2 linked regions of the Tamandua tetradactyla genome follow. The protein of the gene in region 2 purifies or fractionates together with the protein of the main gene of each other region. This does not show direct contact. Links are inferred from orthologs where the notes say so. Each region holds a gene or a part of one and is shown on either strand. Other genes may lie near its edges.

Region 1 (7,800 bases), about 83 Mb from region 2:
AGCCTTCTAAACTTGGTTTTCTCAGCCCTCCTAACGACTCCTTTCTTTCCTGAAGGGCCAACTGCTGCCCCCCTTTTACCAACCCAACCCCCCTGCATGGCCCCCACCCAAATGACGGCCCCAACAGTGTCCCATGCCCATGCGCTCACTCGCCTGCACAGGAGGCACGCCATTGTTGCTCTGCCGGAACTCGCCCTCGTCCCCCGCACTGATCTCCTCGTAATCGTCCAGCATCCGCACTCGCATCCCTGGCTGCAGCGCATACCTTACGTATAAGGCATAGGTATTGCCGCTGGCAAATTCAGAACGAGGGCGGAACCGCCTTGACCTCCTGAGGAAGGGCCGGGCCTGGATAGGTGGGATTCCAGGGCCTGCACCTGCCAGCTGGGGCTGAAAGATGGAACAGGCCGACCGGGCAGTGCTCCCCAGTTTGCTCGAGGCCCGGTTCCAGCGCATGGCCTGTACCAGCTCCGAGATCAGAATTCCCATGGCCATGCTGAACTCCAGCTCCAGCCGACTCCTCTCTCCACTCAACTCCTCAGGAGCAGAGTTGTTCTGGGCTCCAGGTTCCACAGCACTGTCATTCAGCTGATCCAGGAGGAAGGTGACATGCAAATAGTGCTTGACCAGGGAGAAGAGCAGCTTTCCCGGGACCTGTAGAATACAACCTTTGGTCTCCATCCACCTTGTTCCTACTTTAGCCCCTCTTCCACACTGTCCTCTGCAGATTAGGTGCAAAGGCCTTGTGTCTACATCTGGTTCACAGCTCTCCCCAACCTCTGCCCACCTCACCCCCCCACAGAATACCTGTGGCAGCTGAATGCCCTCAAAAGACATGGGATGTTCAGAGAGTGTGGCCTGTGCAAACAGTGCCAGCAGAGCACAGCGGCTATCAAAATCCAGGTGTTTCTCAATGGCCTCTTGCTGGCTCAGGGACAGAAGGATCTGTGCGCGGCTCCCTGTAACCCACACCCCAATCAGTAACTGCTCCTAACCTCACCCTTCCCATATATCTTTCCTAATCCCTCTATTCAGTCCAGTCCTTTGGCCACCACGTTCTAGGAATGGCATGATTTGCTTTCAAATTAAAAATGTACTATCTTATACACATATATATGCATATAAAATCCGCAATAATCTAAACTCTACATTCTTCTTTTGCATAAAAATCCAAGGTTCTAGAGGATTCACAGTCGTTCCTTTTTCTGCAGAGACGCCCATCCCCCCTACCCTCCTCCTTTGCTTCCAACTTTAAGAGAAGGGCACAGAATCATTTACGTACTGATGACGTCAGAGGCTCCTGTCACAGCGTCCTGGGAGTCCCTGAGCCGACCCAGCCCCTCTCCTGCTTCCCTTTCTTCCCCATGCTGCCTCTCACCGGCATCGTGGGAGGCCAGGGCTTGTATCATGCGGCCCGCGCTCCAGCGAATCTGATAGTCAGGACTACTCAACATGTGCATGAGCAAGTCCAGGACCTTGGGGTCTTTGAATACCCCAGTGAGGGGCTCGATGCTGGCATAGGCGCTGAGCACATGGACTGTGTGAAGCAGAGGGGCGGGAGGGGTGGCACCCACACACTCCTCCAGCTGCTGCAGGGCTCTCTGAATCAGGGACTTCACATCATTTTCCATCTCGCCCAGCACAGATTTGTCCAGGGCCCCGACTTCCCCTGCAGACTCTTGGGGGCGCCCAACGACCTGGCCATCTTCGCCCAGCATCTTGTGGCAGTTGGCATAGATCTCATCGTTGGTCATCCACAGTAGGATATATTCAGCCTTGCAGTCCACTTGGCCAGAGGCCCCTTCCCTGTCATCCCCACGCCTGAGGATGAGCCAGCGGATCTGGTACTCAGGATGCCCGTCGTGGCCCACCCGCTGGCGGATCAGCTCATCGGGATAGGCGTGCAAGCCAGGCCCCAGTGGCACCCTGAATTCCCTGTAGCGGAGTTCCCCCACCATCCTGGCACCTGGGACACACAAGGAAAAGAGAACAGGCAAGCTAGAGGGAGAGGAGAGGTCAGGAAACCAAGGACATACAGAAGTTGGGGAAGCAAATGTGACAACAGCTGTGAGGCAGGGTGGGGTAAAGCAGGCCCAGGAGTTGGCTGCTGCAGTCTGGGTGGGACCAGGTTTGAGCAGAGGAACACTGGGGTGTTTATTCTGAAAGAATATGAAATTCGCAGGCTAAAAGGAAGGTCTCCAAGGCAGCCTGGAAAGGGTTGACTTGGAGCAGTGGGAGAGGGACAGCAGGGAAGTGGGGGCAAGGCAGCCTTGGAGTCACAAGTGAAGCTTAAGGCCTTAGGACAGGCAGAGGCAGCCCGGGAAGGTGGTGAGCAAAGCCCAGAGGTGTGTATTTAGGGGGTGGGTGGGCAGGGAGACCCTGAGAACGTGTAGGTGCTGGCTTTGAGGGTTGAAGGGGGAGTTCGAGTCGCAGAAGCAAGAGACCCAGAGAATGGGGGGCAGGAAGAAAGGGTACAAGGCCAGAGGGGCTGGGAGGGAGGAGGCTGGTGGGCTGGAGGGCCTCTGCTTCCATCAGCTGGAGCAGAGAGGCCAGATAGGGGCGACGTGAAGCCCGGGACTGGCCATACAAGAGACCCGGCCAACGAGGAACACAAGGTTTGGTGCACCGGGATTGAAGACCTGGTAAGCAGGGGGCGCGCGGCACCGTAGAAGAGCCGGAGAGTGGGGGTGGGGCTGGTGGCTGGATGAACTTGGGGAGCCGGAGGCACGGTGAGATAGGGGTGCGCGAGGTCGGGTGAGCGCAAGGTGGTCGAAAACCCAGGGTAGGGGCCGGGGTCCGCGGTGGGGCTCTGGCCACCTCAGAAGTCGATGGGGGTCCTGGCGTGAGGCCTGTCCTTCGCAGAGCTAGGGACGCTGCGCTAGCGATGGCGGCGACGCTGGCGGAGATTTGGGCCCCGCCTGGGCCCCCCGAGAGGGTCGAGGAGGGAGGGGGCGTGCCTCCGCGGGCAGGGGGCGTGGCGCGCGGATCCAGTGCCCTGGTGCCCGGCGAGTGTCATCACCCGCGCGCTGGGATCGGCGGCTGCAGAGATGGGGCGGGGCCTGGCCGCGGCCAGCAGCGCCACTCGCCCAGTTTCCGGGGCTTCGCTGCCCGCCCGGAGCCGAGGACCATTTCCGCGGGTCTAGCGGAAAATGAGGGGCCTTGGGAGGACAGCGTCCGGGCGGGGCCGCGAGTGCCACCTCGGCGACGCACGGAACCTCCTCCTCCTCCGCGCCGCCCTTTCCTCTTCCTTTTTGTCCTCCCTCCTGCCGCCGGAAGTCCCTTCCCCGTTCTCGCAAGTCAGAACTGGGGAAGACCTCGGAGATCGTTTATTCCCCCATCCTCCCCTGCATATAAAGGAACTCGGGGGGAAGCCCCAGTCTTTGCAACAATTGGTCGTTTTCCTTCTATTCACCCAACGCTTCTGTCTTTTTCTCCCCTGGTCCAGTCCATACCCTCCCCTCCAATAAAAACAACAGATAAAAATAGGTGAGGGAGACCACTTTATTAGATTCCAGGGATATCAATTATCAGCTTTGGGCAGCAGCAGATGGCAACTTCACATAACTCTTCATGGGGGGTAGAGGCCGAATCTTTCGGCCAGCCCAGCCCCCCTTGCGGTGCCATAGCCCGCTATTAGGCCTCTTGCCCAGCCAGCGGTTCCGCCCAGCCTTGCCTATGATCCGTTTGTTATGATCTACATTGGATACTCGGCCCACTGTTGCCACACACGTTTCAAGCACCTGACAAAGAAAACAGATGGAGGACAATGAACAGAGGGAGGAAAGAGTCTCATAATGTTGAGGGCATGGACTCTTGCATGCCAAATCACGTAGCAGAAAAGGGCAGACCCAGCTTGAGGCAGTTCCTAGCATAAAACATCTGGGAGCCATCCCTGGACAGAAAAGGTACATATGAAAAATTCCTCCTTCGCTGGTCCTTCCCATACACACCTGCATCTGCCTCTTAGAGGGCAGCTGGATGATTGCTGTTCCATTCACCTTCCTCAGCAGTACACCACATGTACCTGGAAAAGGGAGAAGGCAGCTTTGCCACCCTTCAAAAAGGATGAGGTGGAGGGGTTGGTTCACACAGGGGCCATACCCCACATACTTCTGGCTGTCTTTTAGGAGCAGATACACTGAAACAGGACGCATATAATGTTTTAGGTCAAAATATAAGCACATCCTCATTTTCCTTGTTTTCCCCTTCTTTCTGTCAATGGCCTATGGGTTCAGAGAATTGTGATCACAGGTCTTGGCCTTCCAAATTGTAGGGAGCCAGGCAGCATCTCTTTCCATACCTGCAGCTCGAATATATTGGGCTCCCCGGCCTGGCTCACTCTCCACGTTGTTGATGAGGGTCCCCACAGGCAAGGCCCCAAGAGGATGTGCATCCCCTTCTCGAGCAGCAACTAAAAGATGGAATTTCATCAGCACAAGAATTCCCGCATCCTCCCAGCCTACATGCATCTGGCAACCATTCCTCACCTGCCATCCGTCCAATGTGATCAGAGTTCAGGATTATATCTCCAGCCTGCATATTTTCTGTGGCAATGATCCAGCGTTTCCGGCTGCCTCCAGCTACCAGAGCTATGTCTGCTGACCTGTTCAATGGTAAGGGATGGTTGAGCAGGCCATCAAGGCAGCTCTGTGTCTTCTGAGAAGCCAAAGAGCAGCCAGTCAGATATACCATCATTGCCCCATATCTCAAACTTGCCTACAGGGATCATATCGGACGTTGATGACCTTCTCCTCAAAAGGTCCTGGCTTGCTCTCATTCTCAGGCCGGAAACGCAGAAAATCAATCATGCGATAGCGTTGCTTGTGGCCTCCACCAATGCCATGCACTCGAATGCGGCCTGTGGTCAGGACAGTTTGGGGACATGAACCAGGTCAGACTAATTCAGCTTCCAGTACTGGGAACAGGCCCACCCTTTGGCCAATAGCAGTGCTTCCCAACATTATGGCAGAAGTAGAAATTGAATAAAAAAAAAGATTTGCACAGCATATTGGGGTAAGGGGGAGTGGGGGGAAGTACCTACATGGAGTTTGGTAAATATAACAAAGAAAAGTAAAAAAATGAAAACATAGCATATTAGGGAAGATATTAAATATTGAAATTGTGTAAAATCTCATCAAATTACTACATTCAGTACGTTTACTGAGACATGAAAACAGTGCTCAACAATTCCAACTGTTGTAAAGTTTCAAATGGTGTAAAGAAAAATGTCATGGCATTTCCTGTGTATGGCTAGTTTTCTTTATCTAGATTGTCTTTAGAAGTACAGACCACCTTGTCTGTTGCTTTGTATCCCACTCTGACTCCAACATACATTCTACATGCTGAAGGAGTCCAATAAATGCTTTTTGATTGCATTTCTCTGTTCCACAAGGTATAAGTTTACAACTATACTTGCTTAGGGTCCTATCATGTTTTTCTTCTTTATTGCTTAAATCCTCTTGCCCTCACTCCCACCTGTGTGGTCTCGGCCCCCAGACTTTCTCATCTTCACTGGTGTAATGGTGTACTTGGTACGACTCTTCCAGGATTCAAGCTTGGCATTGAGGGTCACAGAAGTAAGGATTGGGCGGCAGGGGGGCAACATCAAGGCAGAGGGTGACTGGAGGAAGGCATTGCTTATTATCTAGGGATAAAGAGAAAGCTCTTTAACTAGGAAAGCTAATTGAAGGAGAAGCATCAGAGAACCAAGGGACAGGACACAGACCATTTTTAGCTTGTAGCCTACTTGTTCCTGAAAGTGCCCCAAACCAGCTGTCCAAACATACCACCCATCAATATGCACAGATACCAGTGCAGAATGTTTATTCAGATGTATGTGTGTTGTTTGCCTCTCCTCCTTTAATACATTTTCACCTCTGAAGTATTTCTTCAATGAATGTTCTTCCCTTGAGGCATATCTTTCCAAATATGGCATAAAACTCTTCTTCTCCAGGAAACATATATGATCATCACCACTGATCCCATTTTTCCATCTATGTTATGTTTCTGGGAATTTTCACATATAAATGGAGTGGCGGGATCATTTGTCTTCAATGCTGACTCCCAACACTGAAGATTAGGTTGGTCTAGTTTTTAATTTTGTGTTTCCATCTGCCAAATACACAGCTGATAACTCCAGATGAGCAAGTTTACAACCTCTCTTTCCTGTGCCTCACCAGTTCATTCCCGTAGCCCACTAGTGACCCCCTGATACTTTCACCTGAGGTCTTTATTCTTGGTATCTTATCCTGCTTTCTCTGATCTCAGCAATAACTCATCCTTGTAGCATAATGGTTAAAAGCTGAGGCTCTGACATTAGACTGGCTAGCTCCACTACTTGGTGCGTGACCCTTGACTGCTATCAGTTTTCTTATCTGTAAAATAGGAACAGTAAAAACTACACTTACAGAGTGATTGTCAGTTCATTTATTTTAAGCTCATAAATATTACTTATGCCTGGCTTATAGTAGGCACTCAGTAAATACTTATTTTTGAAATCGTACAATAGGAGATCTGCAAAGCGCTTTTGCCTCCAGTATCTTGTCTGAAAAACACCTGCGGCACTATAGGGCAACACGATCTTACAAAAGGGAAAGCTAAGGATGAGTGACTTATCCAACGTCACCGGCCGGCGCGACTCCTGGCCAGATTCGCATCCCCCATCTCCCATCCCAGGCTTCTCCCTCCCGAGAGGCCAGAACAGAAACAGCCTCATTTCCCGGTGTAGCAGATTACCTGGGCGGCGGGGAGCAGGCTCGGGAAAGGGATGGGAGTGGCGGCGGGCGCTGGCGAAAGGCTCAGGGAGCCCAGAGTACGGGTCAGAGCCCGTAGGGCCATAGGGGAGGTCAGAATCCACAGGAGTCCGTACGCCACTCTCACCTGTAGCCAGGCCGCGCCGCGCTCCTGGGTGACACCAACAGTTCCCGGCGCCGTCGATGTCTAATGACGCAAAAGAAGGGGGCAGAGAAGAGGAGACCAAGCCGGATACACATCTCCTTTCCTCCGAGAGCCAGAGCCAATCCTCTGGCGCCTCCGATGTCTTGTGACGGGGGAACAGGCCCCGCCCCTCGGAGCCGTCAAAACAATTGCCTCGAGAGGCAGCCATGATGGATTTAAAGGGGCAGTGCCGGCCAGGGCGGCAGCCAGACCGAGAGACTGCGGGTGAGTCTTAGAGTTAACTATTGGGCACAGTGTGGAGGGCCCCGCCATATCATATTCCCGCACTCCTGGACAGATGAACAAACCCCCTCACCGACCTCATACGATTCCAGACCGGCTCCAAAACTCCGCCCACCCCGATTCTTCCCCGCCCCTCGGCATCCAGACAGACGGACAGAAGGCCTGCCCCGCCCCCTGAGCGACCAACTGACTCACTGACCTCGAGATTGTCTGGCCGTGGGGTCCTAGCCCGCGACGCAGACCTCAGCCATCCACTCGAACTACCCCCCCCCCGCCCCCGCCCATCTCCTCTTACCCCCACCCTGGGCCCTAGGACTGGTCAACAGCCTGGGACACTCCTCAACCCCATTCCCAAGTCAGGAGACCAATTCCCAGCGCCGCGTTTCTCTGTGACCCCGCAGCCGCTCAGCAGACCTGCCATTCTTCCCTGAACCATCAGGCAACTGGGAGGCAACTAAGGTGACTCTTCTCAGAGTCTGTTAGTAGGTGACTGTGACAGAGACAAGAGAGTTCCTCCAACCTGGCCTCCGGGGAACAAAGCCATGGAAGTGGCTGGGCCAGGAAAGATCAGGTCTTCCTCCTCACCCTTTCCCAAATACTCCCCTCTCTTTAGGTCTCTGA
Region 2 (7,500 bases):
TGCTGAGGTCAAGTGCCATGTCATCTCAGCTAGATAATGACATATCAGGTACCCCACACTCAAGTTACCATTAAATGTAAGAACACTAATACAACCACATTGGAAAACTGTCGACAGCCACTAAGGTAAAACCTATGTGTACCTCATATATGAGCAATTCCATTCCTAAGTGACTAACCAAGAAAAATGTGTGTTCACCAAAAGATGTTGTAAAAATATTCACAGCAGTACTATTCTTAATGCCCTCTAACTGGAAACCACTTAAGTGACCATTAAAAGAATGAATAAATAAAATGTGATATATTTATAGGGAAAATTTCATAACTAATGCTATAAATAAAAAGCCAGACACAAAAGCACATCCTGTATGATTCCACTTACAAATAGTTCAAACACAGAAGAAAATTAAAATACGATGTTGGAAATAAAGTAAGTAGTTACCCTTGGGTGGAAGAGGACACAAGTGGTAGGGGGGTTCTGACACGCTGCTAATGCTATTCCATGACCTAAGTGCTGGTTGCTTGGATGTGCACACTTTTGAAAATGCATTGAACTGAACACGTGACTGGTACATTTCAAAGTTTTAAAAAAAAAAACTTTAAAAAGTAGGAAAACAAAACCAAAAGGGCCACATTTCAAGAAAAATAGTAAAGTATGTTTCTTTAGGGATATCATGAAGAAGACTGCTATAGTATCTGACATGTTTAACGTGACAAATAATAAAATTTACATTGACCATTACAGAAGAAATCACTACAAAACTATGACTGGATCTGGAAAAACACCCGACAAACTAGGTAAAATGGGCTGACTACACTTTGCCTCCCCTATTTCACTCATTTGCACTTGCCTGATTCCTGTGAGCTTTGGGGCTTGCAAGCATTGACATGAGAATCCAAGCCTTTTCATAAACATTCCCATCACTTCCTAGATGGAAGATACTGGGTAAGTTTACTGGCCCTTCACATATGAGTTACATTTGTAATGATCACCTGCTAAACAGGACTCATAATGGCCACTGGAGAGGGTCACTAGAAGAATTAGAGAAGACAAATACCTCTAATCCACTGAAGACAATACAAAGTTAAATAGTAAGCACACAATGAATGACTGTTACTTTATTTATAGCAGTGTTACTGATGATCGCAAAGTATTCAAAAAGAGGGAGGTGCTCCAAAGGTTGGATGCTGCTCACAGTAGTCTACAGCCTAGTAGAACCCGATGTGATTCCAAAAGGGGCAGAAGAGAACAAGGACATGGATTCCAGAAAGACTGTAGGCTTTTTCTATCTACGTTTAAAATTGTAATGAACCCCTGGATCCCCCAGTAGCTAGACCGCTTTCACTTATAGAATGCTTGATTTATTACTCCACTATTGCTAGTATCAAGGCCTATCTCTCAGGATTGTTAAGGACAGAAAGTCTTGTGAATCAGGACTTTTTAAATCAAAGGACGCTGTACAGCAAAGTATAGTATCTCAAACTTGCCTCATCATCACAATCGGATTTCTCGGCCCTTTCTCTGGAAACTGATTCAGCAGGTTTGCAGAGAAGGCACAGAACTTGCATTTTAACAAGGTCCTCTGGTGATTCTTGGCCCAAGACGAAGATTGGAAAATTCATGTATGTGCAACTTAAGAGTCAAAAGACCTGGATTCAAATTCAATCCCCAGAATTTATCAGCTGGGTAACTGCAGGTAAATTACAGAAAAACTCTTCGAACATTTCTTATTTGCAAAAAGAGACAATATTTCTACCTTGCAGGATAGTTGTGAAGATTAGAGTTAAGGCAAAGCACAGAACCAGACACCTGGTAAAAACTCAAAAGGTAAATATTGATGTTATTTGAGTATAACTACATATTGCATTAAATAAAAAGCCAGTATTTCTTAGAGTGACCTAGCATTTCAGAATTTCTCCTGACTGAAATACTATAGAGGTCTCCTTTGAGGCTAATTTAATGACTTAAATTAAAACCAGCTATTTTATTCTGACTCTTAATTAGAGAGTCACTGATGTGTTTCAGGTGATACTGAGCTTACTGAAACTACCAACCTTGGTTATGAGGCTATTTTAATGGAGAGAAGGTCCCCAGCTTCCTCCAGATTTTCCTCACAAAAAGAGGCTCCATCCTAATGATAGTGCCTCAAATATTCTTTCTAAATTTTGTTTGCTGCTGTAATTTTTTTAATACACGCAGTTAGAAAAAAACTAAATAGTACAAACAGTATACAGAGGAAAGTTAAAATTCCTTCCCACCCTTGCCTATAGTCCATCTCCCTAAAGGTAACCTCTATTAATAGCTTAGGTATCCCTCATGGACAGGATTTCTCAATCTCACATCTATTGACATTTTTGGGTCAGACAATTCTTTGTGTGTGGTACTGGCTGTCCTGTGCATTACAGGATGTTGTGCACATCGCTGGCCTCTACCCACTAGATACCAGTAGTACTCACCCTAGCTGTGACAAACAAAATTGTCTCTAGACACTACCAAATCTGGGAGACAAAACCACCCCCAGTTGAGAACCATTGCTTCCAGAGATACTTTATGCACAAACACATGTGTATGCACTCTTTCACTTTTTCCCTCCACATTGGGTGGTGCACCGAGTTACTTCCCAACTTATAACAGGGTTTGTCTCGGGGGCGGGGGACTGCCCAGGCCTGGGTCGGGGGGGGTGGAGGGGGGGCGATGGCCACTCACCAGGTCGCGGATGAGTTGGTCCACCAGCTGGTCCCCGCCCCCGGCGCCCTCTCGGGCCTGAGGGGAACGGGAGCGGCTCGCCGCGTCCTGCCTCTCACCCCGGGTCGCCCGCGCCGCCGGGGGCCGCCCCGCGCCCTCCAAGAGGCCCTGGGCCAGCGCTAGGTACCCCGAGGCCTGCTCGCCGCGCCCGGGGGCCACCTCGGGCCGCCGAGGCCGCCGTTCGGCCGCGCGAGGCTGCCGCCGCTTCCTCAGCGCCTGAGCTTCCACCAGCTCCTCCTGCCAGCGGCGGCGGAACTCGTCCAAGCTGCGGTCATCCATCGCCGCGGCTCGCTGCCCTCCGCGTCCTCCTCCGTCCCACTTATTGCCACGGCGAGTCCCGCTCCGGAAGTGTCCGCCGCTGCCGGAAGCTACCGCAGCTGCCGCACTCAGGTTCCGGGTGGGCGGCCCAGCTGTCACCGCGCTCGTCCCGCGGCGGCCGGAGCTGGTTGCTCTCCGACTTGCAGCATCCCAAGGTTAGGTCAGCGCCTGCACCCCAGCACCTCGCCTCCGCGCGTCTCTGCTTTCCCGTCTGGGAACCGGGCGACAACTGTAAGCCGGGCACTTGGAGATTCAGCACTTAAATCTGCAAAAAATCCCTCCCCTCTTGGCGTGTGCATTTCAGTGGATGGAGACGTTTAAATAACTAATAAACGCATGTGAGCATTTTCATCAGCGGTTGGTATCGTGAAGAAAATAAAATAAGGTGATGTAATAAAGCGATTTCGTAGCAAGGGGGGATATTAATTTTTAAAGAATGGTCAGGGAAGGTCTGTGAGGCGATGACATTTGAACTAAGAGCCAAACGAGGTGAGAAACCAGCCAATCTCAGAAGAGAGGTTTCCAGAAGAAACTTGTAGTGCGAGCGTTGTGAGGTGGGAGTGTGTCCAACAATTGCTTTCTTTCTTCATGCTACCTAGTCCCTGCTCTTCCCTCCGCGGGAAATTCTCTTCATCCTGACTTGATTAACTCCTACACATCTTTCACATCTAAGCTCACCCATCACTTAAAATCTCCCCAACCACAGTGTTCTAGTTTGCTAGCTGCTGGTATGCAGCACACCAGAGTCGGATTGGCTTTTAATAAAAGGGGATTTATTTCATTAGTTCTTCAGAGGAAAGGCAGCTAAATTTCATCTGAGGTTCTTTCCTATGTGGGAAGGCTCAGGGTGATCTCTGCTGGGCTTCTCTCCAGGCCTCTGGGTTCCAACAACTTTCCCTGGGGTGTTTTCTTTCAGCATCTCCAAAGACCTGGGCTGAGCTGCGAGTGCTGAGAGGAGGTATGCTGAGCTGCTCGGGCTGTGTTACCTTGACCTCTCTCATTTAAGCACCAGCCAGTTAACTCAAACATCATTCATTGCAGCAGGCACGCCTCCTAGCTTGACCACAGATGTAATGAGCAACAGATGAGATTCATGTATCATTGGCTCATGTCCACAGAAACATAACTAGGCATCTTCACCTGGCCAAGTTGACAACTGAATCTAACTACCACACACGGACCCCCTTCCCCCTAAAAGTCAGGTCTCCCTGTTACTCTCACAGCATCCTGTATTTACTTCTCCTCATAGTACTTAGCACTATTTGTAATTTTATATTTGTATGACTGTTTAGTAATATCTCCCTTCCCTACTAGATTCTCAACTCCTAACCTGGATGTTGGTACACAGTAGATGTTCGTTAAATATTTACTGAATGAACAACAGTCCTTTAAGATGAGAGCTATTTTTGTCCCCATTTTATAAATAAGAAAATGAAGGCATAAAAATCTCAGCAACTTGTAAAAAATCACGCAGCAGGTCACTTGCAGACCCAGGATTTGACTCCAATTCTTTTTGACTCCAGGACCCGACCTATTTGTCATATAGCCCACAAGCCTTACCTGCCTCCAGTTACATGATTTATTTCAGTGCAGTGACTCTAGTAAACTAATTAAGACCCACTCAGAATGGGTGGCGTCACGTCTCCATCTAATCAAAAGGTCACATCCACAATTGGGCATGACATATCTCCATGGTGATAATCTAACCAAAAGATTCCAACCTACAGTTTGAATCAGGATTAGAAGAAATGGCTGCCACCACAAGATTGAATCAAAATTAAAACATGGCTTTTCTGGAGTACATAATACTTTCAAACCAGCCCAGAGCTGAACCTGCGACCTGTGCTTGTGGACAGGTAGTGTATTTGTAAAAGTGATTTCAGGGAACAAGAGTGGGGAACCAAGAACAGTGAAAGAAGAAAGAAGGAAAGCAAATCCAAAGGGCACTCTGAATTAGTCCTGTTGTAGACAACTTAGATTTCATTCCACTGAGATCTTCTAAAGAGTTTCAAAGAAAATAGGCCTCAGAATTGTCCTCCTGAGAGATGAGAGCCAGAAACAAGGGGAGCATTTATCCACAAAGTCTCCTCTCACATTAGAGAAGGACATAACCCAGAGGTTTTACAATCTCCCACTTCCAGGTGGGAGATAAGTAAATGTATTCCCAGGGATGTCCCAAACCAAGGTGGTGTGCAGAAAGCAATAGGTACTCTGAGTAGCTAACAGAAGGGACTGTAAGATCACCCTTGCACAGAGCCAATTGCTACAGCAACAACTGAAGCACAAAGTAGTCAGGAGAATATGATGTAGGCCTAAGAGATGTCTGATGCAATATGTATTTTTTTTGGTAATAAAAATCAGTATGGGGTCGGCCACAGTGGTTCAGCAGGCAGAGTTCTTCCCTGCCATACCAGAGACCTGGATTCGATTCCCAGTGCCTGCCCATGCGAAAAAAAATTAAAAATCAGTTATGTTTTCCCAAACATTCACCTAATATCCTGCTTCATCCTAGTTTCCTTTCATACAGAATTCCAAGGATCAAACTTGCTTTGATTATCTACCAGTGGGTCAAAAGTCAACTATCTCCAGAATGTACGCAACACCTAATATTTAAAATAGAGCAAACTGGAAAATTTTTAAGCACCTAACTGTGCTAGTCAACATCCATATTTTTGCTTAACCCCTTTAAAAGAATTTTTACAGGGGCAATGTAGGAAGGATGATGGGGCCATTTGTAACCCAGGAAAAAGGAAAAGAGAGAGATACTAGAGAAAGGGAAATATTGTCCTTTCCTGATTATTATTACAGCTTGCTCTGAAAATGTTTACATTAATTTTGTATCTTTCAAATGGTAAGTTCCATGAGCCTCCATTTCCTCAAATGAAAAATAAAGATAATATATATATATATTTATATTTTTATAAATTTATTTTTTTATAAATTAATATTTATAAATATATATATATTTATATTTTTCTTTCACCATTTTTTATTGTGGGAAAATATATATATAACATAAAATTTGTCGTTTTTAAGTGTGTAATTCAGTGGCATTAATTAAAGTCACAATGCTGTGCTACCATCACCACTATCCCTTACCGAAACTTTTTTACGTCTGAACCCATTAAGCCTAGTTTGAGTCACATCGCCATCAAGCGATAACTCCCCATTCTCCCTCCCCTCAGCCTCTCATAACCACTAATTTACTTTCAATCTCTATGTATTTGCTTACTCAATATTTCATTTAAGGGGAATCATGCATTCCCTTTTGTGTCTGTCTTATTTCATGTAGCATAATGTTTTCAAGGTTCATCTATGTTGTAGCATGGATCAGAACTTTATTCCTTTTTATGACTGAGTGAAGTGAAAATAAAAATATCTTCCCATCAGGGTGGCTTTAAGACTAATATCATGTCTATAAAACTAGCACCCAAGGTGGGCCACAGTAGCTCAGTGGCAGAGTTCTCGCCTGCCATGCCGGAAACCCGGCTTTGATTCCTGGTGTCTGCCCATGCAAACAAACAAACAAATTAGCACCCATGAGGCATATAGTAGGTGTGCTGGTTTGAAAGGATGTATGTCCCCTAGAAAAGCCATGTTTTAATCCTAATCCGTTTCTTCTAATCCCTATCCATCATTGTATGTTTGAGACTGTAATTAGATCATCTCCCTGGAGATGTGATGTAATTGAGAGTGATTCTTAAATTGGATTAGGTGATGACATGTCTCCACCCATTCAGGTGGGTCTTGATAAGTTTCTGAAGTCCTATAAAAAAGGAAACATTTTGGAGAATGAGGAGATTCAGAGAGAGCAGAGCAGAACGACATAGCCACGAGAAGCAGAGTCCACCAGCCAGCAACCTTTGGAGATGAAGAAGGAAAATGCCTTCCGGGGAGCTTCGTGAAACACGAAGCCAGGAGAAGAAGATAGCAGATGACACCTTGCTCACCATTTACCCTTCCAGATGAGAAAAGAACCCTGACCTTGTTCACCATGTGCCTTTCCAGATGAGAGAGAAACCCTGACTGTGTTCGCCATGTGCCTTCTCACTTGAGAAAGAAACCTGAACTTCACTGGCCTTCTTGAACAAGGTATCTTTCCCTGGATACCTTAGATTGGACATTTCTATAGACTCCTTTTAATTGGGACATTTTCTCAGCTTTAGAACTGTAAACTACCAAGTTATTCAATTCCCCTTTTAAAAGCCATTCTGTTTCTGGTATATTGCATTCCGACAGCTAGCAAACTAGAACAGTAGGCATTCAATAAATGATAGCTGTGATCCATATTAATTCATCCCCAGTAGGTAGAGATTATGTCTAACCCATGCCGTATAAGACTGGTGTGCCATGGGCCCATCTTCTGACATATGGCGGATGGTCCTTGCAAGCTTTGGCTGTTGAGGTTCTTCGGTTCTTTGGTTGCAAGCAACAGAC

The links.
Region 1: the proteins of FBXW8 (region 2) and CUL7 purify together in Homo sapiens (affinity purification with western blotting; 12 studies listed by BioGRID and IntAct, with this or other methods). This does not show direct contact. The link is inferred for Tamandua tetradactyla from reciprocal best matches to the Homo sapiens genes FBXW8 and CUL7.

What each region holds. Positions count from the first base shown.
Region 1 is NC_135331.1:100,633,146-100,640,945, forward strand, and holds the start of CUL7 (cullin-7), read right to left. Parts: upstream 3,224-7,800; 5' UTR 2,818-3,223; intron 1,967-2,817; 5' UTR 1,959-1,966; coding exon 1,283-1,958; intron 960-1,282; coding exon 808-959; intron 655-807; coding exon 154-654; intron 1-153. Other genes in the region: MRPL2 (large ribosomal subunit protein uL2m), read right to left, coding at 3,528-3,740, 3,951-4,024, 4,301-4,411, 4,488-4,603, 4,717-4,858, 6,736-7,105; KLC4 (kinesin light chain 4), read left to right, coding at 7,104-7,161, 7,581-7,638. UniProt on the Homo sapiens protein: Core component of the 3M and Cul7-RING(FBXW8) complexes, which mediate the ubiquitination and subsequent proteasomal degradation of target proteins. Core component of the 3M complex, a complex required to regulate microtubule dynamics and genome integrity.
Region 2 is NC_135331.1:17,254,051-17,261,550, reverse strand, and holds the start of FBXW8 (F-box/WD repeat-containing protein 8), read right to left. Parts: upstream 3,080-7,500; 5' UTR 3,025-3,079; coding exon 2,707-3,024; intron 1-2,706. UniProt on the Homo sapiens protein: Substrate-recognition component of the Cul7-RING(FBXW8) ubiquitin ligase complex, which mediates the ubiquitination and subsequent proteasomal degradation of target proteins.